Linked DNA regions of Ovis aries. The protein of the gene in region 1 purifies or fractionates together with the protein of each later gene. This does not show direct contact. Links are inferred from orthologs where the notes say so. Each region holds a gene or a part of one and is shown in the gene's direction. Other genes may lie near its edges. The genes, in order: SMC3, WAPL, REC8, USP13, PDS5B and NIPBL.

Evidence for each region.
Region 2: the proteins of SMC3 (region 1) and WAPL purify together in Homo sapiens (affinity purification with mass spectrometry; 7 studies listed by BioGRID and IntAct, with this or other methods). This does not show direct contact. The link is inferred for Ovis aries from reciprocal best matches to the Homo sapiens genes SMC3 and WAPL.
Region 3: the proteins of SMC3 (region 1) and REC8 purify together in Homo sapiens (affinity purification with mass spectrometry; 3 studies listed by BioGRID and IntAct, with this or other methods). This does not show direct contact. The link is inferred for Ovis aries from reciprocal best matches to the Homo sapiens genes SMC3 and REC8.
Region 4: the proteins of SMC3 (region 1) and USP13 purify together in Homo sapiens (affinity purification with mass spectrometry; 4 studies listed by BioGRID and IntAct, with this or other methods). This does not show direct contact. The link is inferred for Ovis aries from reciprocal best matches to the Homo sapiens genes SMC3 and USP13.
Region 5: the proteins of SMC3 (region 1) and PDS5B purify together in Homo sapiens (co-immunoprecipitation; 7 studies listed by BioGRID and IntAct, with this or other methods). This does not show direct contact. The link is inferred for Ovis aries from reciprocal best matches to the Homo sapiens genes SMC3 and PDS5B.
Region 6: the proteins of SMC3 (region 1) and NIPBL purify together in Homo sapiens (affinity purification with western blotting; 4 studies listed by BioGRID, with this or other methods). This does not show direct contact. The link is inferred for Ovis aries from reciprocal best matches to the Homo sapiens genes SMC3 and NIPBL.

What each region holds. Positions count from the first base shown.
Region 1 is NC_056075.1:30,667,136-30,670,635, forward strand, and holds part of SMC3 (structural maintenance of chromosomes protein 3), read left to right. Parts: intron 1-219; coding exon 220-395; intron 396-913; coding exon 914-994; intron 995-1,219; coding exon 1,220-1,384; intron 1,385-1,722; coding exon 1,723-1,844; intron 1,845-2,923; coding exon 2,924-3,137; intron 3,138-3,500. UniProt on the Homo sapiens protein: Central component of cohesin, a complex required for chromosome cohesion during the cell cycle. The cohesin complex may form a large proteinaceous ring within which sister chromatids can be trapped.
Region 2 is NC_056078.1:40,192,479-40,195,978, reverse strand, and holds part of WAPL (wings apart-like protein homolog), read left to right. Parts: intron 1-56; coding exon 57-264; intron 265-1,331; coding exon 1,332-1,420; intron 1,421-3,500. UniProt on the Homo sapiens protein: Regulator of sister chromatid cohesion in mitosis which negatively regulates cohesin association with chromatin. Involved in both sister chromatid cohesion during interphase and sister-chromatid resolution during early stages of mitosis.
Region 3 is NC_056060.1:20,795,450-20,799,376, reverse strand, and holds the start of REC8 (meiotic recombination protein REC8 homolog), read left to right. Parts: upstream 1-1,127; 5' UTR 1,128-1,518; coding exon 1,519-1,535; intron 1,536-1,619; coding exon 1,620-1,740; intron 1,741-2,463; coding exon 2,464-2,548; intron 2,549-2,868; coding exon 2,869-2,939; intron 2,940-3,150; coding exon 3,151-3,422; intron 3,423-3,499; coding exon 3,500-3,591; intron 3,592-3,745; coding exon 3,746-3,798; intron 3,799-3,927. UniProt on the Homo sapiens protein: Required during meiosis for separation of sister chromatids and homologous chromosomes.
Region 4 is NC_056054.1:208,250,952-208,254,947, reverse strand, and holds the start of USP13 (ubiquitin carboxyl-terminal hydrolase 13), read left to right. Parts: upstream 1-1,196; 5' UTR 1,197-1,241; coding exon 1,242-1,409; intron 1,410-3,996. UniProt on the Homo sapiens protein: Deubiquitinase that mediates deubiquitination of target proteins such as BECN1, MITF, SKP2 and USP10 and is involved in various processes such as autophagy, endoplasmic reticulum-associated degradation (ERAD), cell cycle progression or DNA damage response.
Region 5 is NC_056063.1:28,619,824-28,623,323, reverse strand, and holds part of PDS5B (sister chromatid cohesion protein PDS5 homolog B), read left to right. Parts: intron 1-2,801; coding exon 2,802-3,241; intron 3,242-3,331; coding exon 3,332-3,442; coding exon of another isoform or gene 3,443-3,446; intron 3,447-3,500. UniProt on the Homo sapiens protein: Regulator of sister chromatid cohesion in mitosis which may stabilize cohesin complex association with chromatin. May couple sister chromatid cohesion during mitosis to DNA replication.
Region 6 is NC_056069.1:37,368,459-37,371,958, reverse strand, and holds part of NIPBL (nipped-B-like protein), read left to right. Parts: intron 1-221; coding exon 222-304; intron 305-897; coding exon 898-1,030; intron 1,031-2,004; coding exon 2,005-2,148; intron 2,149-3,500. UniProt on the Homo sapiens protein: Plays an important role in the loading of the cohesin complex on to DNA. Forms a heterodimeric complex (also known as cohesin loading complex) with MAU2/SCC4 which mediates the loading of the cohesin complex onto chromatin.

The sequences.
Region 1 (3,500 bases):
ATATAAGAATCAGTGTCACCATGTATAAGTTTATTCTCTCATACTTTCCATAATAAAGCATTTTAATTGCCATTTTAGTATCTTAGATTTGGTTACCACCTAATGTCAAAGAAGTAATGCTAAAGTGCTTAAGATTAAGTTTTACACAGTATATTTGAGAATTGATACTGCCTAAAAGTTTTATTCAACTCCTTCATCCTTCTCCCATTTTTTTTTAAGAGGGAAAACGGGAAAAAATCAATGAGTTGTTAAAATACATTGAAGAGAGATTACATACCTTAGAGGAAGAAAAGGAAGAACTAGCTCAGTATCAAAAGTGGGATAAGATGAGACGAGCCCTGGAATATACCATTTACAATCAGGAACTTAACGAGACTCGTGCTAAACTTGATGAGGTAAAATACTTACCTTTGCCACTTGTTTAATTTTATTTTTATGAATATATTAAACTCATACTGTATTTATACTTTTCAATGATTTTTAAATACATACCTCAAAAATGTTAAAATTTCTTAGTGAATTTATTACTCAGCACATTTACTCTTTGAGTCTACTCCAAGGAAAATGACTCACATGGTCCTTGCTGTAGTTGCATCTGAAATATAATTAGGTGGTGGTGTCAGGCAGACCAGGATGAGAAGAAAACAACTTTTAGGGTTTCACGAATTTCTTTCTTGGCTTTTTAAGGTGTATTTTGTAATTAGTATTGCTAACATTTTGTACAAAAACTTGTTTTAGGTAATGCTGAAAACTATAGGCATTTTCTATTTAAACCCAATACAGTTATTTTGGGGGAAATTTTTTTTTAAGTGAATGCTTGTTTTAGCAGATACTTAAAGATTTTTACTAGATGTTATAAAATATTGAACAAATCCAAAATGGGTTGGAAATCATAGCTTGGTTTTTTTTCCAGCTTTCTGCTAAGCGAGAGACAAGTGGAGAAAAATCCAGACAATTAAGAGATGCTCAGCAGGATGCAAGAGATAAGATGGAGGTAAGGTTATAAACTAGACTTAGGTTAACTTCTAAGTTAACCTTTCTGTACCAGAATTATGGAATGGTAACTTCAAGTAGTGGTGTCACTGGGATTGAGTATTGGAAAGAGAGTAGTACTGAAAGTTTAAATAAGAGAAAAAGAAGAGACAAACCAATGATGTCCTGATTTTGCTTTTGTATTTCTAGTTGTCTAATTTGTTTCTATTTGATACTTTTTGAATAGGATATTGAGCGCCAAGTTAGAGAACTGAAAACAAAAATTTCAGCTATGAAAGAAGAAAAGGAACAGCTCAGTGCTGAAAGACAGGAACAAATTAAGCAGAGAACTAAATTGGAGCTTAAAGCCAAGGATTTACAAGATGAATTGGCAGGCAATAGTGAACAGAGGGTAAGTTAAAATGCTGAAAATGAAAGACATAAATGTTCAGGTGATTGGAAACTGCAGAGGACAATCCTTTCTGTGACAGGGGTGCATGCTTGAAGGACAGTCCTTTCTGTGACAGGGGTACATGCTTGAATTTTTGTAAAAAATTTGGCACATTAAAATTAATTTGCATTCAAGTTGCAACTGAGTACTTTCAGTTACTTACATTTAAAAATTAGTTTTATGTTGCAGGATCAGTTTTCTCATAAATTCTTTTCATGAGAAAATATCCTATGCTGGATTTAAAAATAAGAAAAGTTTTTAAACAGATTACATTTTTACTTATCTTGCTTTATTTACAGAAACGCTTATTAAAAGAAAGGCAGAAGCTGCTTGAAAAAATAGAAGAAAAGCAGAAAGAACTGGCAGAAACAGAACCTAAATTCAACAGTGTAAAAGAAAAAGAAGAGCGAGGAATTGCTAGGTCTGGGACTTTTTTCACCAATTCTAATTTTCTGTGTGGTTCCTCTATAGAACCTTATTATATAAAGAATTATAGGTTAGGAAGTTAGTAATTAAGGGCAAAGTTAAATGCCCATTTCAAAGTAACAGCCAGTACTGTGGGCCAGTATTAGTGTATGCATATTGCCTATTTAGAAGCCCTAGGTGATCCACAGTATCTTCACTATAAGTTTGACAAATTTAAGGCTCTGGGAAGTTCAGTAACTTGCCCATAATAATATAGCTAAAATTTGGACTTTGTTTACCCAAATTGTATCCTGCTGTGTGTTCATTCTGCCACCTTCTTTTCATACTTGACATCTTTTAACATCTATACGTTTTAGTTTCTGTCTGTAGATTGGACTTGCCAGTGTTTGCCGACTTCACAATTTAGTACATTATCGTGTTTTTATGCCTCATGTTCATTTTAATGAAATTCCTGTTTATATCCTTTGTCCATTTTTTTCCTGATTTTATTTTTTCTTACTGTTCGATAGTATTGTTTTATGTTATCTGGGGGTTAATATTTGTCCTGTATGTTTTATGTGTTTTCTCTTGCCTTTTAACTTTTATAATGTCTTTCATTGTAAGGTGTTGAAAATGTTTAAATAATTAAATATAGTTGGAGCATTTTTGAAAATCCTGAGGTAGGGTGCTAGATTTGTCTAGGTTTAGTGATTAACCCAGACCAGGAAGGACCTTAAATCCTTAGAGGATGGGCTGTTTTACCTGAATTTCACAGTGATTTTGAAGTTAAATTAATGTTAAATAGAGCTAGTCCTAGAAGCACTATTAGATAATAGTTGCTTTTTATACTTAATTCCTTTTTTTTTTCCCCATGTGGGTTGTGGGGTCTTAGTGCCCTGGCTGTCAAACCCAGGCCCTCGGCAGTGAGAGCACACAGTCCTAAACACTGGACCACCAGGGAATTCTCCTTCTTTCCTTCTTGTATGGAATTACAAAAATGGTTATTGTCTCTCTGTACTCTTGAGGTATTGATTGCAATTAAACTTGGTTATTTCCTGTTCTCCTTTTTAATCCATTCTTTTCTGTCTTGTGTAGATTGGCCCAAGCTACCCAGGAAAGAACCGACCTTTATGCAAAGCAGGGTCGAGGAAGCCAGTTTACATCAAAAGAAGAAAGGGATAAGTGGATTAAAAAGGAACTCAAGTCTTTAGATCAAGCTATTAACGACAAGAAAAGACAGATTGCCGCTATACACAAGGATTTGGAGGACACTGAGGCAAATAAAGAGAAAAATCTGGAGCAGTATAATGTAAGAACTTCTGTAGCTGCTTTGTGAAATCTTTGAGTGTGAACATATGCAGGTTTATCTGTTTAAGTTTTATTTGTAAATAGTTTATCATAAAATACACAAGACAGATACTTAATTAGATAAGACCAGCACAGTTTAATATACATATGGTGGTTCTTTTTTTAAAGATTTTTTGCCATGTCAGTGAGTGTCATATAGATTAAATAAATTTAAAATATATTTTTTATGAGTCAGCAACATGTACTTGGACTTTACAGTTAACTTTAAGTGATATCATACAAATCTAAAATGACTATAGTAATTTAAAATATTTCCATTTTTATATAATAATGTAATATTGTATCAATGTAATAACTTACTGCA
Region 2 (3,500 bases), on another chromosome or scaffold:
GTACATTGATGTTGGTAGGTGATCCCTTTTTAATGACCTTCAAAAATGTTTATCAGCTGTTCCTTGAGCGAGAACGAGCAGCACAGTTGGCAGAAAGTAAAACAGATGAATTGATCAAAGATGCGCCCACCACTCAGCATGATAAGAGTGGAGAGTGGCAAGAAACAAGTGGAGAAATACAGTGGGTATCAACCGAGAAGACTGATGGTGCAGAAGAGAAAAACAAGAAGGAGGAGGATGATGAAGAACTCGACCTCAATAAAGGTATGTTTTCTTTGACTGCTTTATTTTTTAAAAGATGTGTGTGTGTGTTTTTTCCCCTGTAAAACATTTTTTTACTTCATGTGTGGTCATAATCTTGCTGTTTTATGGCCTCTCTGGTTGAGTGCACACAGGCTTTGCTGTTTGGTAGCAGTCTTCACCTAGCGGTGAGAGTGGCGTGTATGTACTGTTGGAAGGTCTGTGTTTCCTCCCTGGGCCTCTCTTTACTGTCTGTGAAGAGAAGCAACCAAGTAACATGACTCCTAAGGGTGTTTACAGTTTTGATATTTTGCCCATATTTTAAATTGGGTTATCTTTTGTTGTTATTGAGTAGAATTTTTAGAGCCTCGATTCTTATCAAGTACCTGGTTTGCAGATAAATTCTATGAGTTGTCTTCTTGAAGGTGAAGCTTTAGATTTGATAAAGTCTAACTTACCTATTTTTTATATTGTCTTTTGTGGTCCTGGTGGTGTGTCTAAGAAACCATTTCCTAACCCAAGGGCACAAATATTTAGTCCTCTGTTTTCTTCTAAGGGTTTTATGGTTTTAGCTTTTATATTAAGCTCCCTCTACCATTTGTGGGTTTTGTTTTTGTTTTTGTTTTTTTTTTTGGTTAATTTGTGTGGATATTACATCTTCCTAGCACCATTATCCAGAGAAAGCGATGGCACCCAACTCCAGTATTCTTTCTTGGAAAATCCCATGGGCGGAGGAGCCTGGTAGGCTGTAGTCCATGGGGTTGCAAAGAGTCGGACACGACTGAGCGACTTCACTTTCACTTTTCACTTTCATGCATTGGAGAAGGAAATGGAAACTCACTCCAGTGTTCTTGCCTAGAGAATCCCAGGGATGGGGGAGCCTAGTGGGCTCCCGTCTATGGGGTCGCACAGAGTCGGACATGACTGAAGTGACTTAGCAGCAGCAGCAGCAGCAGCACCATTATCAACGTTTAGCAGTTTTGAAGTAAAGATGACACAGTTGCTGGTTTCCTAGGTGCTTTTGTTGTTGTAGTTTTTGGTTTATATATATATGCACATGCACTATTAGTTTTCTGTTTTAATACTTTCAGCCCTTCAACATGCTGGCAAACACATGGAGGATTGCATTGTGGCCTCATACACCGCACTGCTTCTTGGGTGTCTCTGCCAGGAGAGTCCAGTAAGTAAGAGTTCTGTGTTGTTTTATGTTATCCTATAAGAATTTCACTGCAGCCACTTCACATCGTTACTTAATTAACTTGTTACTTTATTTTTCCCTCCTGTTAAAAACTTTCAAATATTTGGTGAACTTTAGAAGGTACATTTCAAAGTAAGAGTATATTGGTTTCGATGAGAAAGTTCCAGATTGATAGAGGAATCAACTTATATGTCTTTGGTTGAAGTAAAAGCACCATATGAGACCTGTGCTCAGCTGGCTTAAGGTGGAAAAGGTTCGCCTCAGTGATACCAAGGACTCATAATTTCTACCTTTAAACTCTGCTCTCCTCTGCGTGTTGTCTTTTGCTAGCTTTCTTCATGCACCTATGCTGACTCTGTGTCTCACCTAGTTAAATAGTGCCCAGCAGAAGAATGTGGCCTGTTTGTTTCTCTTTGTTTAAAGAGCAATGATTTCTTTTCCCTAGGACTTTTCCACACCCAATGCAGAAAGTCGACTTCCTTTACCTTGGCCAAGATTGGCTCACATGCTTTTGTTTGATGACTCATTGGCCAGGAAAATGGGATTACTATGTGAGATTTAGATCATGAGTTAACTATGAAAAATCATGGCTCTCCCTGGTGGCTCAGAGGGTATACTGTCTGCCTGCAATGCAGGAGACCTGGGTTCGATCCCTGGGTTGGGAAGATCCCCTGGAGAAAGAAATGGCAACCCATTCCAGTATCCTTGCCTAGAGAAACCCATGGACAGAGGAGCCTGGTGGGCTACAGTCCATAGGGTCACAAAGAGTTGGACACGACTGAGCGACTTCACTTTCACTTTACGAAAAGGATGTGAATGTGTACACAGTTGGGCTGAATCAGCACAGAAGTGGACATTTCTCACTGTTTGAACAGTCTGCTTTAAAATGGAGGACACGTGGGATTTTTTTAAATTTATTTTTTTAACAGAGAGGCCCAGTAGAAGAGAGAAATTTTAAAATAAAAGAGAGGTGGGTTTTTTCCCCCTACAAGCAAGGGCATTCAGGATGCAAGAAAGAATGGAGACCTGTTGTATAGTGGGATGGCTAGTTTCTCTTTTCTTAAGACTAGAGGGCTAGAAGAAAAGAACGTAATCATGATATGAAGGGCTTCTGTCTGCCCACCCACATTTCCTCATTTTTGCCATCAAGTTTTATCCATTGTCATTTTTGTTCTTCCTGTGTACCTTATTTGTCTTAAGTCCAGTGTGTTTTTCTGGATCTTTCTTGTTCATTTATTCCATATTGTAGAAAGGCTCTGAGCTGAGTGCATACTGGCCCACTTCGTTGCTGGCCCTTGCTGGCACAACTGCTTTCAGGATCAAGACCAGAGTTCTTACCATGGTGCTAGAGGCCCCACAAATCTTTATTTCCTTTCCTGGACTGTCTTCAAGCTCAGCCCTTGTCCTTATTTCCTTAAAATTCAGAGATTTTAAGGGCAAATGGGAAGCACATACCAAGCAAAAAGGAGGAGGAAAGCACACCCCACCCCCACCCCCCAAAAAAGAGTGGGTATGCTATTTAAAGATTTTTACATATTTTGCATACACCCTGGTTTCAGTTGTGTTCTTAAGTAATCTGAAAATTGAGTTTTTTTCAGATGTGAATTATTTGTCTCTCATGTCTCGAGAGGTTAGGTTGTAGACAATACTGTGAATTTATAGAGCCCAGGATGTCTTTCTTACCTTAGGGGTCATTATGATTAACCCTGAAAAGCTAGCTGATGCCACAAAATGTAAAAGACATTGGTTTGCCCAGTGTTTAAGTGGAGGAAAGACGAGAATCAGGTGGTTATGTGCAGTAAGGGCTGTTCTAAGGTAAAGCACAGCATGCCTAGGAAGCCCAGGAGACCCTGGTGTCACTTTCCATTGCCCGGTAGGCATCTGGTGTGTTTTAATGGTCAGTCTTCTCTGTGGCCTTTCTGTTCTTGCTTTTCTCAACTCTCCTTTCCTGAAATCCTGCATACCACCACCATAGCTAACTTCCTTAAGAGCACATCTGATCATGTTAACCCTCCAACCCGCCAGTCTTTCTTGACTCACTGTCATTTAGGAAATGATAGCT
Region 3 (3,927 bases), on another chromosome or scaffold:
GCTGGGCATAAAAGTAGACCAACCACTCGCTGCACTGTGGGATTCGGAAAAAGGGTAAGGTCTAACTGCAAGTCAGGCGCCCTAAACAGGGCCCGACGATTGCCCTTGGCATGACGCAACCTCCTCCTCTAGTTGAAGCACCTTGTTGCCAGGCTCGGTGCTCGGAGTCTCCGCCCTACTCATTGGTCCATGGGGAAACACTCCCGAGGTACCCCTGTTACCCGGCGAGGATGAGAGCCCATTGGTCCAGACCCCTCACAATCCCTCCCCCCTCCCCCCACCACCTGCAGGGTTCGTCCCATTGGTTCGCTGCCTGCCTCGGGAGCCCCCTGTTGCCTGGACTAGGCTACGTAGCGCCCCCGAACAAGCGCCCCCAAGTTGACCCTGTTCCCCATTGGCTGCTCTGGAGAGCGCGCCATCTAATGAGGAGTAAAGCGCAAAGCACCAGAGCACGCGCTCCCCGCGGCGGGATCTGGGCTGCAGGAGCGGGACCGGCAGCAGCCGAAGCTGCGCAACAGTCAGCTGCCGGGCCTATCTGCAGAGGACAACCCTTTCTCCCTCGGACCTGGCCTGGGTTGTAGCTTGGACGGTCTTCCTTCGCGAATCTTTGCATCTCCAACCTGGAATCCAACCTGCAAGGCTCCCGTAAGTTCAAAGCACCTACATGGTGTGCAGACTGGCTCAGGGCTCACGTGTATCCAGTCTGTGTCTCCATTTACTTATCCCCTTAATCATTTATCCACCCATAGTTCATTGGTTCCTGTATTTGGCATTCTGGTCCACACTACCGGTCCACATCCTTCTCTCCAACGGTTTGGGAAATTCTGTACCCTGAAGAATTTGGATTGAGATCTGAACAGAAGTGGTGTAGACGAGGGTAAAACCCTGGAGGGACCATGTTCTATTATCCCAATGTGCTTCAGCGCCACACCGGCTGCTTCGCCACCATCTGGTAAGGGCGGGCCTGGCCAGGGTAGGTGCTCTGGGAGGGACACCCAGGGGTCCCAACCTGAGGGCTCCCCCTGCATCTACACCTCTCATTCTTCTTCCAGGCTGGCAGCGACGCGGGGCTGCCGGTTGGTGAAGCGCGAATACCTGAAGGTGAATGTGGTGAAGACCTGGTAAGACCCAGGAAAGAGTGGCGCAGGGCTGGGGTGGGTTAGGGGATGCATTGGGCTGGGCAAGGCTGTAGGTCTTTGGCGCAGCGGTGTTGGGGTGCATTGTTCCCCCAGCGAGGAAATCCTCAATTACGTGCTGGTGCGAGTTCAGCCCCCGCTGCCGGGCGCACCGCGGCCCCGCTTCTCGCTCTACCTCTCAGCGCAGCTCCAGATTGGCGTCATCCGCGTCTACTCTCAACAATGCCAGTACCTTGTAGGTAAGGCTGGAAGGCCTGGATGTAGGGCAGTGCCGAGTGGTCCTCCTCTGGGCGGGCACTGTAGCTTGCCCTCCCTCACCGCAGAAGACATCCAGCACATCCTGGAGCGCCTGCACCGGGCGCAGCTGCAGATCCGCATTGATATGGTGGAGACTGACCTGTGAGTGCATCCCTGGGGCTGGGACCACCCGGTCTTTGGAAGGGAACTTGGCCTCAGTCCTTGACAGCCCACTGCCTCCCTCAGACCCAGCCTGCTGCTGCCTGACCACCTGGCCAGAATGGAGACTCTGGAAGATGCTCCAGACCCCTTTTTTGGGATGATGTCTGTGGATCCCATGCTGCCGGATCCCTTTGATATCCCTCAGGTAGGTCTCCTCCCCGTCGGACAGCTCAGACTGATGAGCTGACAGTACAGAGGGGGGTGCTCTTTCTGCGCCAGTCTAGCACCAGGGTTGAGGGGTGCAGGTGGGGGCCTGCTCCAGCTCTGCCCCACAGGAGTCAGGGCAGGGCAGCTGTCATGGTGGGCCTATCCAGACAAGCCTGCTGCACTTACCTATTCAGGACCAACCTAGAGGTGGCTTTTGTCTTCACACCATCCCTAGAGCCGAGGCCCCAGTCCAGGCCCTCTGTGTCCCTCGGCACTGGGTTTTCCATGTCCCTGTCCATCCACTCCTAACACCCCTACAGCTTAGACAAGCTTCTGTTGAAGTGTAGTTGATTTACAGCATTGTGCTAGTTTCAGCAGCACAGCATTCTTTGTGCTGGCTTTTGCTGGGGTCAAACACAAACTTGTCTCCCCACTAGACAGTATCCTCAAGGATCTTTAGTTTCCTCTGTCCCTGACAAGACTTGACCCCAGGATGCAGTACTTCTTTCACAAAGTGACCCAGGCTAGATGATTGGGCGGGGGCAGGAAATGGGAGGAAGGGGAGCTGGATGGTGAGTGGGTTCACCCTGCATGCTGCTGTTAGTGCCACAGGATTAGGCATAAAGGGGTGTCACTGTCCATTGTCTGGATAAGGTTGTGAAAGTGGGGGAGCAGGGCACTGAAGCTGAATCTGGTCTTTTGTTCCCATCCCTTCCCAAAGGTTCGACACCTTCTAGAGGCCGTGACCCTGGAGAGAGTTCCTGAAGAGATCCCTCCTGAAGTGCCCGCAGAGCTTCGGGAGCCAGGTGAGCAGAGACCCTTCTGGTGAGAGGCAGACCAACTCCCAAAGGCTGAAGAAATAACTGTTTTTGAGCTTCTTTCAGGAGCAAGGCCTTGGGAGGGGCACTACAAGATTCTTACGAGATTGGAATTATTATGCCCATTTTACAGATGAGGAAAGTGAAGCCCATAGTGGTTAAGCAATGTGCCTTGGGTCAGACTGCCAGTGACTGGCCAGGGCCTGACTAGAACCCAGGTTGGCTTGACTCTAGAGTCTGTTTTTGCTTTACACACATGGGTGTGGGGACTTGAAACAGAGGCTGGTGTGACTTCCCTCCCCCTCCAGAAAGGATTCGGGTCACCCCCGAAGCCATCACGATCCAGGAGGCGGAGCCCATACGTATGCTGCGGATCGAGGTGAGCTGCCCCCTGCACACAGAGCCCAAGGCCGAGTCCTGCGTCTGATGGCCCAGGCCCCCTGTACCTGCTCCTTCTGCCCCTAGAGTCCTGCCTTCTTGCCTCCGTTTCTCTACCCCTTCCCCCGATGCCCGAGTACCCACAGGCTTCCTCAGCCTGGCCTGGCCCTGCGGCATGTCTCTCAGACAGAAATGGTCACCTCTCCTGACAGGGTGAACTGGACCTCCCAGAAGTCAGCCGCCGTGTCTTGGACCTGCTGATTGCTGAGGAGGATGAAGGCATCTTGTTAGAGGAACGTCGGCTAGGTAGGACCCACCTGGCAGTGGACGGTCAGACCCCAGGCGCTGGCCATCTGGGCCGGGCAATGTTCACACCTCTTCTGTGTTCTAAGCTTGATCCTCTCTTCGCAGAATTCAGAGAGGAGCCCCGGGCCCCAGAGGGGGAGATCACAGTTCCCCCACCCTCACCTTCAGCTCTTGTAGGGTAAGGGGAGGAGCCCCAGGCCAGGTAGGGGTCAGCGCTGGGAGGGTATTTTCATCCTCTTGCCCATTTCCCTTCAGGGTGGAGGAGGCAGCAGAGCCACTTCCCAGCCAGGTCCTGGCCCCGGAGGAGCTGAAGCCGGTAGGGTGGGAGCCAGAGGTCCCACTTCCTGGTGAGTACCCACTAAACCGGGGTCTTTCCTCGGGGTCCCAGCACAGCTGCTGCAGACAACACCCTGTAATCCAGCTTGCTGAAGGGAGGACCCTCTAGCTTCTCACCTGGTTGGCTCTGAGGGCAAAGGGTGTGGACCTAGACTGTTGTTGCAGAGGTGACGCCCCCGCTGGAGCTGCGTCTGCCACCCGTCCCAGTCAGCCCTGAGGTGAGTGCTGCCCCTCCACACTGCCTCTGCCAGAGCTCCTCACCCATTTTCAGTCTCCTCAAGGCCCCTGCTGGCTTCCACAGGCCTTTGTGCAAGTTTGTACAAGGTAGCCTGGCCCACACCCTGCAC
Region 4 (3,996 bases), on another chromosome or scaffold:
GTTTTCTACAGTGGCTCTGCCAACTTATATTCCCACCAACAGTGCAGGAGAGGTCCCTTTTCTCCACACCCTCTCCAGCATTTGTGTTTGTAGACTTTTTAATGATGGTCATTCTGACCCTCTGTGAAGGGGTACCTCATTGTAGTCTTGATTTGCATAAAAATCAGTGTATTGAGTCACTTTTTCTGTTTCACTAACTGGTCGGTGTCACTGGTATCCTGCTCCTTAGATTAGATGTAGTTAGAGAAGCTCAGTGGAACTGACCTCATGTTCTGAGTTTCTTTCTTTCTTCTTTTTTTTTTTAAAGAAAATAAGAGTATGCTGTGACAAATTTTCTGTTTTTGCAGATTATTAAATCACCTCCCACCCCAACCTATTCCCATTTATTATTTAAGGAACTGGACATGCAAAGGCAGGGAGGAAGTATGTATGCAGTAAGATCCCAAATCAGTCAACTGAAATGGTTCATGCAGAGAAGACTTTCCAAAGATAGAGAAAAATATACCTTCCCCCAAATAATCCTGATACTCTCCCCCACTCGGAAGAAAAGTCAGTATTACTGGAAAAATATACATTTATCCTTACTTAATCTTACTCTATTCTCTTTCAAAGAGCTTTAGATCTTAAAAACTTGAGGAGCAAGTCTTAGATTAACATCGGAGTGCCAAAAACAAATTTAGATTTGGGCCCCACTTTAGGTTCTAGAGTCCCACCCCTATCCAATCAGGGTACGTCCCCGCTGTTACCCTGGTTGTTTAAAAGCTAGCGGTTTAAAAAATCTCAAATCCTGCCCTTTGTTGGCTGCCTCGGAGGTTCCCCTTCGCAGAGCAGCGATTTAGGATAGAAAACACGGCGGTGGTGCTCCACCGCAGCCGGCCCCGGAGCCTGCGCACCCAGGACTCGCCCTCCGCCTCGGCCGCCAAGCCCGGCCAGGGCCCCAGGCCCCTCTCCAGTGCCCCCTCCCCGCGCGCTGCGGCGGGTGCTCCCGAGCGCCCCGCCTGACGCTGCAGCTGGGCCGGCGATTCGCCATTGGATTAAAAATAGCAGCGTCCCCTTCAGCAGCCAGCCCGCCCGCCAGCCCAGGCCCGGGGTGCCCGCTCCCGCCCCGCGGCCGGCTCTCCCCGCCCGTCCCGGCTCGGCTCCAGCAGCCCGCGCAGCCCGCCGCCGCCGCCGCCGCCGCCGCCGCGGAGGTGGGCAGACCCAGCGCCCCGCTCGGCTCGGCTCGAGTGCGCGCCGCGGCCATGCAGCGCCGGGGCGCCCTGTTCGGCGTGCCGGGCGGCAGCGGCAGCAGGAAGATGGCTGCAGGAGACATCGGCGAGCTGCTCGTGCCCCACATGCCCACGATCCGCGTGCCCCGGTCCGGGGACAGGGTCTACAAGAACGAGTGCGCCTTCTCCTACGACTCCCCGGTAAGTGAGACCCGGCGGCAGGACGGCGTCTCGCGGGAGGCTGCGGTGCCCGCGGCCTGCGGCCGTCGCGAGTCGCCGAACTCGGCCGCACGTGAAGCGCGGTGGGGGGGGGGGGGGGGGGAGATGCGCGGCGGCAGCCGGGGGCCGGCTCCTCCGGGCCTCAGAGTTGCCTCAGGGGCACGGCAGTTGGGCAAACACTGGAGGAGTGCCTGCTGGGTGCCCGGCGGCGCAGGCTTCCCCAGGGCTGCTGCAGCCGAAGCCCGGGACGGCCGGGGTCGTTTGCTCCGCCGCCTTCTTAGGCTGCCAGGACCCCAGTTCCTAGCAGCGGTTCCAAAGCCCCGCCGCCGTTTGAGAGAGAGAGCGAGTCGAAGCGTTCCCTAATCTTAACTGTGCGTTGCAGATGGTTTGCGTCCTCTTTGGGAGGAGCACGGAGGGCAGGTGGGCGGACGAGGTTGATTCACTCCGGATGTACGCAGCCCTTCTCTTTCTGGGACCGTTCGCTTTGCCCAGGGATTCCCACTCCTGGACAGTTCTGCTTTCCTCTCTGAGCTTTCCTCTCTCCACTTTAAATTACTCCCCACTCCTTTTCTTTCCGTCAGAACATCGGAAGAAACCGTCGGCTGCTTCCACTGGGGCAGCAGAAATAGAGGGTCTGCTGGATTGTTAACGGTTTCCTGAATCCTTTCTCTTTCCCTCCTAAACGAGTCGCTTTGACTGAAATGCACCAGTATAAATGATTAAAAGTTCAATCGCTAGTCGTGACCTCAGAGACTGGCGGGGAAAGTCGAGACGCACCACCGCCTTTCACCCGGCGCTGTTGGTGTGTTTTCCACCAGGTTGTATGTGTATGTGTGAGAAGGAAAAAGGAGGGTGGATTGTCCTTTTCGGGAGTCAAAATGGGCTTCAAAGTGACTCAGCTGTCTGGCGTTTATCATGTCTTTTTGAGGACCAGGTTATTTTTATCCACCCACTTTAGAGCTCATGTGTCACTCGGCAGATCTCGATGCAAAAGGGAGGTTTCTGGATTGGAGGCACCGAGGCAGGTTTCACAACAATAGTCTAACACAGTTTATTCATATTATGTTTTGTTGGAGGGGGAAAAAAAGCCAGATAAATGGCACCTGTTCCAAAGTATCCTTATTATCTTGAGTTGCTTTCAGCTGATTTCCAAAGCTTTTTTGTTTTGTACACAGTGGAGTTGCAGAACTTATCCTTTCTGCGCTATTTTTCTTTTATGCTAATAACAGATCGTTTGGGAGATAAAAGTCTCATTTATTTGCTCATTACTTTCTTTTCTTTTAAAAAGGTGTGCAGTGTGAAGTGAAATGGCTATATTTATTACTTAGCGGCTTGTAATCACAACTTAATGTGTCTGTCAGCAGTGTCATTGTATCCACAAAGTATCTGAAAACGTCATGTCCAGATTTTGTGTCTAGTGTTGAGCAGGTTTCCACTAATAGCTTCTAAAGCTGGAGAGGAATGATCCTACTTAACTTAAGCAATCGAAGATTGTGAATGCCATTGGGAGAGTAGCCCAAGTATTTTAGGATAATACATCATGTAAAGTGGGTAAAACTGCTTTCTCTTTGTTTAACCTGGGTTACTCTTCAGATTCTTCTTGCAAACTTTGTTATTGAAAGTCTTTGCCGTGTTTTATAGTGTATGGTAGGAGTGAAGAAAAAAAGCTGATTATTTTACTCACTTTCACAAATAGTTATTGGAAGGTTCAGTTCAGTTCAGTTCAGTCGCTCAGTCGTGTCCGACTCTCTGCAACCCCATGAATCGCAGCACGCCAGGCCTCCCTGTCCATCACCAACACCCGGAGTTCACTCAGACTCACATCCATCGAGTCCGTGATGCCATCCAGCCATCTCATCCTCTCTCGTCCCCTTCTCCTCCTGCCCTCAATCCCTCCCAGCATCAGAGTCTTTTCCAGTGAGTCAACTCTTCACATGAGGTGGCCAAAGTACTGGAGTTTCAGCTTCAGCATCATTCCTTCCAAAGAAATCCCAGGGCTGATCTTCAGAATGGACTGGTTGGATCTCCTTGCAGTCCAAGGGACTCTCAAGAGTCTTCTCCAACACCACAGTTCAAAAGCATCAGTTCTTTGGTGCTCAGCTTAGTGTGTGCCAAACACTATTCTAGAAGTATTTTGTCCAGTGTAAACTGATTTCATTCATGTCACAGTAGTTCCTTGGGGAAGACTGGGCTTGTTTACAAGGCTGATGAATCAGTATATTTCTTTATGTTTCAAGGGAGGAAGAGCGAGAAGATTTTATAACAAGTTATATTAAAGTACAGTGCATGATAATTCAAGATCTTTCCCTATGGTACTTATTTAACACTTCATCATGAATCTCATAAGGGTTCTAGAGCACCTACTATGTGCCAGCTGTTACATTCATGGCTATAAGAACCATACAGAGCAAAATTCATTGGTGCCAAATAGCAGACTTTAATCCACAAGTGCAGTAGGACTGTGGTAGAGAAAGGACCAAAATCATCTGAGTGGAAACAATAGCCATCCTTGCATTGGATACTTTTGAAAATGGTCATAAATAAGGATGGTTAGAAATAAATAAAACAA
Region 5 (3,500 bases), on another chromosome or scaffold:
GGGAAAATAGATTTATTTTACAGCAATAACTGTTACAGTGAAATTAGAGGGATCTAAACATAATCTTAAAAAGAAGTAGGAGGAACCTATATGGAGAAAACATTAAAACTGAGAAATATAGGAGAGAGAGAGGACATGCCATATTCTTTCATGGGATAAATGAATTTTTAAAAAATGACAGTTCTGAGTGAAAATATCATTGTAAAATCCCAGTGTGATTTTAAGTCCACGGTGAAGAATGTTGTTTAGCTGCCAAGTTGTGTCCAACTCTTTGTGACACCATGGCCTATAGCCCCACCTTCCCCCCACACCCCCTCCGCCCAGTCTCCTCTGTCCGTGGGATTTCCCAGGATTTCCAATATTCCCAAGAATACTGGAGTGGGTTTTCCTTTCCTTCTCGGGATCTTCCCAGACTAGATATCAAACCTGTGTCTTCCTGCATTAGCAGGTGTATTTTACCACTGAGTCACCAAGGAAGCTCAAGGTAGAATAAATGGATGCAAAGAAGGAGTAATGATAAAATCAGCCCAACCAAACACAAACATACTTAGTTATAATTAGTAAAATACCATGCTTTTGTTGCATAGTATTTTACTAATACCTAGAAGCATTACTGTCTTTGAAAAATAATACAAAGTAAAGGAAGCATAATACATCATTGAAGTGATTAGATGTGTCTTTGGCAGTGGGAGTAGGTAAAACAGTTTAGAACCTCAACTCACATCCTATTCTAAAACAAGATATGATAATGTGTTAGTCTGTTCATAACAATACACCATAGACTGGAAGGTTTGAACAACACAAATTTTCTCATATTTCTGGAGGTTGGAATGTCCAAGATCAAAGTGTGGGCCAGTCCAGTTGCTGATGGGATCTCTGTTCCTGGTTTGCAGATGGCTACCCTGGGTTCGATCCCTGGGTTGGGAAGACCCTCTGAAGTAGGAAATGGCAACCCACTCCAGTATTCCTGCCTGGAAAATGACATGGACAGACCAGTGTGGCGGGTTACTGTCCATGTGGTCACAATGAGTTGGGCATGACTGAAGACACGTACACACACCCTCACACACCCTCCCTTCTTACTGTGTTCTTACCAGTGGTAAGAGGATATGAGTTTGGGCAAACTCCTGGAGATGGTGAAGGACAGGGAATCCCAGTGTGCTGCTTTTCACAGGGTCACAAAGAGTCGGACATGACTGAGCAACTGAACAACAACAAGCTGGTGGAGAGAGAGAGACAGTGAGATCTCTCTGGTGTCTCTTTTCCTAAGGACACTTATCCCATCATGAGGGCCCCACCCTCATGACTTTAGAATTACCTCCCAAAGACCCCATATCCAAAGAATATCAGAATACTTCAGCTTGTGAATTTTGTGGGAACACAATTCAGTTCACAACAAACAGGAATATTTGTTTGTTATACACGAAATACACATGAAAGTGTAGAATATTGTAGATTAAAACTCAGACTCCAGTAAACAGACAAGGGGCATAATTAGGCAGTTCACAGATAGGAAACACAAATGACTAATTAAACGTGAAGAATTATAAGTAATCTGATAATTTTTGTAGTCACTGATGTTTTAAGAATGTAAATTGGAACAAACCATTTGGAAATTAACTTAGTACTACAAACATGGCTCAGATGGTAAAGTGTCTGTCTACGATGCAGGAGACCCGGGTTCGATCCCTGGGTCAGGAAGATCCACTGGAGAAGGTAATGGCAACCCACTCCAGTACTATTGCCTGGAAAATCCCATGAACAGGGTAGCCTGGTAGGCTACAGTCCATGGGGTCGCAAAGAGTCGAACACGACTGAGCAACTTCACTTCACTTCTTCAAACCTATGGAGAAAATTACAAAGTCATGCATACTCTTCCTTGTTTCTTTGAAGAATTTCTTTAAAGAATCGCCATCTACGAGTCAAGGCTTAAATTCTGTGACTGTAGACTGGGATTTTATGTTAAATTTGGAAGTCACTGATTTTTGTATTGTTGTATCTGGGAAAAAGCAATATCTTTGATTCAGAAATGTTTTCAGAATTTTTAATAAATGATGAATATGTTTAACTTTGTATCTTACAACCTCCACTTTTGAAATAAAATAGTTCTTTTATGATGTGTATGCATTATGCATTACCTAGTTAATATTTATGTCTTATTATATACACTGAGTGGTAAAATTAGGATTACTTAAATTGACTGTCAAATGCAGATGCACTATACTCAGTGTAGTTGTCTATTATTTAAGCATTGAATTTGGCTTTTTTTCTTTTTTTTTAGTAGACCAGATGGATTTTTTTTTAAGAAAATATATTGATTTTATTACTGAAACAGTATAGACATTTGTGAAATATTTGAAAGTAAGTTGCCAATTAAAACTTGGTAGAGACAGCAGATACTAATAAGAACTGCAATTCTTCATAATGAGTACTGAACTATGACTCCTTTTAAGTGTTGAATTTAGAATGTTCTTTTTAATGGACTAGCTCTTCATCAAAAATTTATCATCTATTCATCTACTGAGAGGTTTCATCTGAGGCTCTTTAGCTAGAGTAAGAATAAAAATTTACCCTCTTACCCCCAGATTATGTTTTATATTAGAAAATTGTTAATAAAAGCAAGTAGGTAGTTATGGTTCCGACATGCTTAAAACCTCTAGACCTTATTAGGTACATTCTTATAACTGAAGTAGATAACAGATTTTGTTCATTTGTTTATTCTTGAACATATACACACACACACACACACACAAATAATGTATACTAAGTTTTATATTTGAAATCGTGGCTTTTATTCCTAGTCTGAATTGGACAAACCTAGAAGCCGGAAAAAGACACCTGTAACAGATTCAGAAGAGAAATTAGGCATGGATGACCTTTCCAAGTTGGTACAGGAACAGAAACCTAAAGGCAGTCAGCGTGGACGAAAGAGAGGCCATACAGCTTCAGAGTCAGACGAACAGCAGTGGCCTGAGGAAAAGAGGCTCAAAGAAGATATACTAGAAAATGAGGATGAACAGAACAGTCCACCAAAAAAAGGTAAACGAGGCCGACCACCAAAACCTCTTGGTGGGGGTACACCCAAAGAAGAGCCAACGATGAAAACATCCAAAAAAGGAAGCAAAAAAAAATCTGGACCTTCAACAGCAGAAGAGGAGGAGGAAGAAGAAAGACAAAGTGGAAACACAGAGCAGAAGTCAAAAAGTAAACAGCACCGGCCTTCAAGGAGAGCACAGCAGAGGTAAGTGTGTGCCACTCTGAACTGCATGCATTCAGTTATTGTACTGTAAATCATAACTTGATGCTGTCTGCATCTGGGTCTTTCCCAAAGCAGAGCAGAGTCTCCAGAAACTAGTGCAGTTGAATCCACACAGTCCACACCACAGAAAGGACGAGGAAGACCATCAAAAACACCATCACCATCACAACCCCCCAAAAATGTGTAAGTTGTAAATAATATTAAGTTTCAAACCAGTTTCAAATTATTTTGCAAGAGTTCA
Region 6 (3,500 bases), on another chromosome or scaffold:
GTGCACAGGCTTCGTGGCATGTGGGATCTTTCCAGATCAGGGATTGAACCTGTGTCCCCTACATTGACAGGCAGATTCTTATCCACTGTACCACCAGGGAAGTTCATAAAGTTTTAGTGTTTAATTGTGTTGCCCTTATAGTCAGTAATAACATGGTAGTAGCAACTGAAATAATTTGTTTGTTGGTTATTTCTTATGTCCATCCATTTTTCTCAATCTAGGTTGACCAAGATGTTGTCATTACCAATTCTTATGAAACAGCCATGCGGACAGCCCAAAACTTCCTTTCCATCTTCCTTAAAAAGTGAGTAAAATTAACATAATCTGATTTTTCTTTTCCCCATGGAGAGAATAGTTTTCTTTTATGTAAAAGATTAATTGAACTTCCTTCCATAGTCTAAACCCTGACTATATCTCCCTGACTCCTGATATCCTTATCTTTTAAAATGAGGCGGTTGGAATATTATAAAATCTAAAGTTTCATGAACTTTCTTGTGTGTTGAACTCTAGAAGCTAAAGTACAAGATTGAAATTCTTTAATTTTTCATTGAATTTTCAGACGTTCTGGTTGAACAGGAAAGTTTAGGGATAGAGGTTTACTTAGTTTTCAGAAGAACTTATAGTAATCTCATAGAAAAACAGTGATCATTATTTAAAGTGTATTATGCTTGCCAGAAAGTAATGTTAATATTAGTCAGTAAATGAATTTAATTTCCTGTAGTAGGGGGGAAAATGAAGCTTGAGAAATAGATTCATTTTAAACCATATTTTATTTAATGTGCTCTGTTACACCTTGTTTAGATATATAAGTCGAGAAACTTAGTTAACAGAATTTCAGTCATATTGGTGAACATGTCACCTAAACTCACAGCTTTTTCATTATTTATCTTTGAACAGATGTGGTAGTAAGCAAGGTGAAGAAGATTACAGACCACTATTTGAAAATTTTGTTCAAGACCTTCTTTCAACAGTCAATAAGCCTGAATGGCCAGCTGCTGAACTACTCCTTAGTTTGTTAGGGAGACTGTTGGTAAGAGTATAGCATTTAAAGATTATTAGATTACTAGAAGACAACATAATGAGGATGTACTCTGATTCACAGATGATGAATTCTTTAAAAATGTGTAAGGAAATATGACCATTGCATCTCTATTTTTGCATGTATTACTGTACATAATACTGTCGGTACCTTGTATAAAATTTTGAAATGTTGTGACTTTTGGTGCTTTCATTTCATTACATAAGATAACAGTGCTTTAAAAAACTTATTTTATTTGTTTGAAAGTATTATTAGTTAAAAGCATCTCAACACAGAGTCATGTTATTATAGTTAATTCATTTCAAAGCATGAAACTGATTAATATGAACTCTGTCATCTTTAAGAGGACTTCTAAAAACGTGACACATTTTAGTCCTCATGTAATACCGTAAGGGAAATAAATACAAGGAACTGCTGTTGTGATTTTTATTTTTAAATTACATTTGGACTCGTGTAGTTGTTACAGAGCTTTGGGAACCTTACTTTCTGTCAGTTGGAAAATACATTAATACTATTCTGAAACCAAGATATTTTTAATAGACTTTGAAATTCCAGTCTAAGAAGTTCTTAGTTATAATCCCATTTTATACAGTTGAGCCTACATTTAAAGAAAGTGACTGTGTTCTTAGGAAGACTTAGTTATAATTTTTTTTTCTTTTTAATGAAAATGTTAAAATTCTGGAAACTCAAAAGGCAATTAATGGGAGTTCCATGGTGGCCTAGTGGTTAATATTCTGGGTTTTACTGCCATGGCCCACGTTTAGTCAATGGTCAGGGAACTGAGATCCTGCAAGGTGCAGGATGCGGCCAAAAAAATAAAACAAAAAATTTTTAAAGGGTAATTACTTTGTGGGACAATATGACGGGGAAAAAATGTTTAAATTTCAAGTAAAACAGCATAGATATGGAATTTATATAAACTGCTATTAAAAATATTTTAAGTTAAAATTATTTTTCATATGCAGGTTCATCAGTTCAGTAACAAGTCAACAGAGATGGCTTTAAGAGTGGCATCTCTTGATTACCTTGGAACTGTTGCTGCACGACTGAGGAAAGATGCTGTTACAAGCAAAATGGATCAAGGGTCTATAGAACGAATTTTAAAACAGGTATTGAGATAAAGAATTTATGTTATGGGGATAAGTCATAAATAGTTAAGAACTTTTTAAGGTATTCTTACGTTAGTGTTGGATTTCATTCTGTAGATTCAGAATAAAATCATGTGAAAGTGCCACAGAGAAAATATATACCTTAGGATGAATTCTGTATAACAGGAACTTTCAAATGATTTATATAATCCTTAGTTAAGTTTTGTGTGTGTGTGTGAACTTCTGTTATGAATGTATGATACTAGTTTCTATTTGGTTTAACAATACTTTTATTTTAAATTGTGGAGGAGTTGATAGTAATACTAAGATAACTTAAGAAAATTGACAGGTAAATGATATGTGTAGGCTTAGTCACTCAGTCGTATCCAACTTGTGACCCTATGGACTGTAGCCCGCCAGGCTGCTGTGTTCATGAGGATTCTCCAGGCACGAATACTGGAGTGGGTTGCCATGCCCCCTTCCAGGGGATCTTCCTAAGCCAGGGATCGAACCCAGGTCTCCCACACTGTAGGAGGATTCTTTATCATCTCAGCCACCAAGTAGCCCAAATGATCTGTAATCCTACCATGTAAAGCTTTTTTCATTTTCTTTATACTCTTTTTTATTTTTTTAATGTCCATAACCATATCCATGCTGGCCATGACAAATGCCTCTAACTTACAGAAAAGTTTTAAGCATAGCACAAAAAGCTCCCACAAATCTTTCATCCAGATTTCTTTAGTGGTTAGCATTTGCTTTATTATTCTCTTTTAGAATATACATACATATGTGTTTGTATATTCATTTTTATTTTCTTCTGAAGCATTTTGAGCAGACAGGATGTCACCATTACCCTAGAATTTCAAAATGTGATTCCCTGGACAAGCAGCACCAACTTTTATATTACCTAGGAACTTGTTAGAAATGCAGATTCTCAGGAGTCTCCCAAGAATTACTGAGTCAGGTATACACAACTATATTTAAAATGGATAACCAACAAAGCCCCACTGTGTACTACAGAAACTTCTGCTCAGTGTTAATGTGGCAGCCTATATGGAAGGGTAGTTTGGGCAGAAATGGATACGTTTATATGTAGGCTGAGTCCTTTTGCTGTCTCCCTGACCTTGCCACAATACTGTTAAATCAGCTATACTCCAATATAAAATTGAAAATTTAAAGAAGAAAAATCTACACCTCAGATGCAACTAAATAAAACCATTCTGAATATATCCATTTCACTACACTCTCAGAACACAGGTTATTCTCATCTTTGTTTTCTGCTTAGATATATAATCTAAACCATATATTTGGCGTTTCACACAGGTAAAACCAGAGTATAAGCTATAGACATTAATGTCAACTCAGAGTTAATT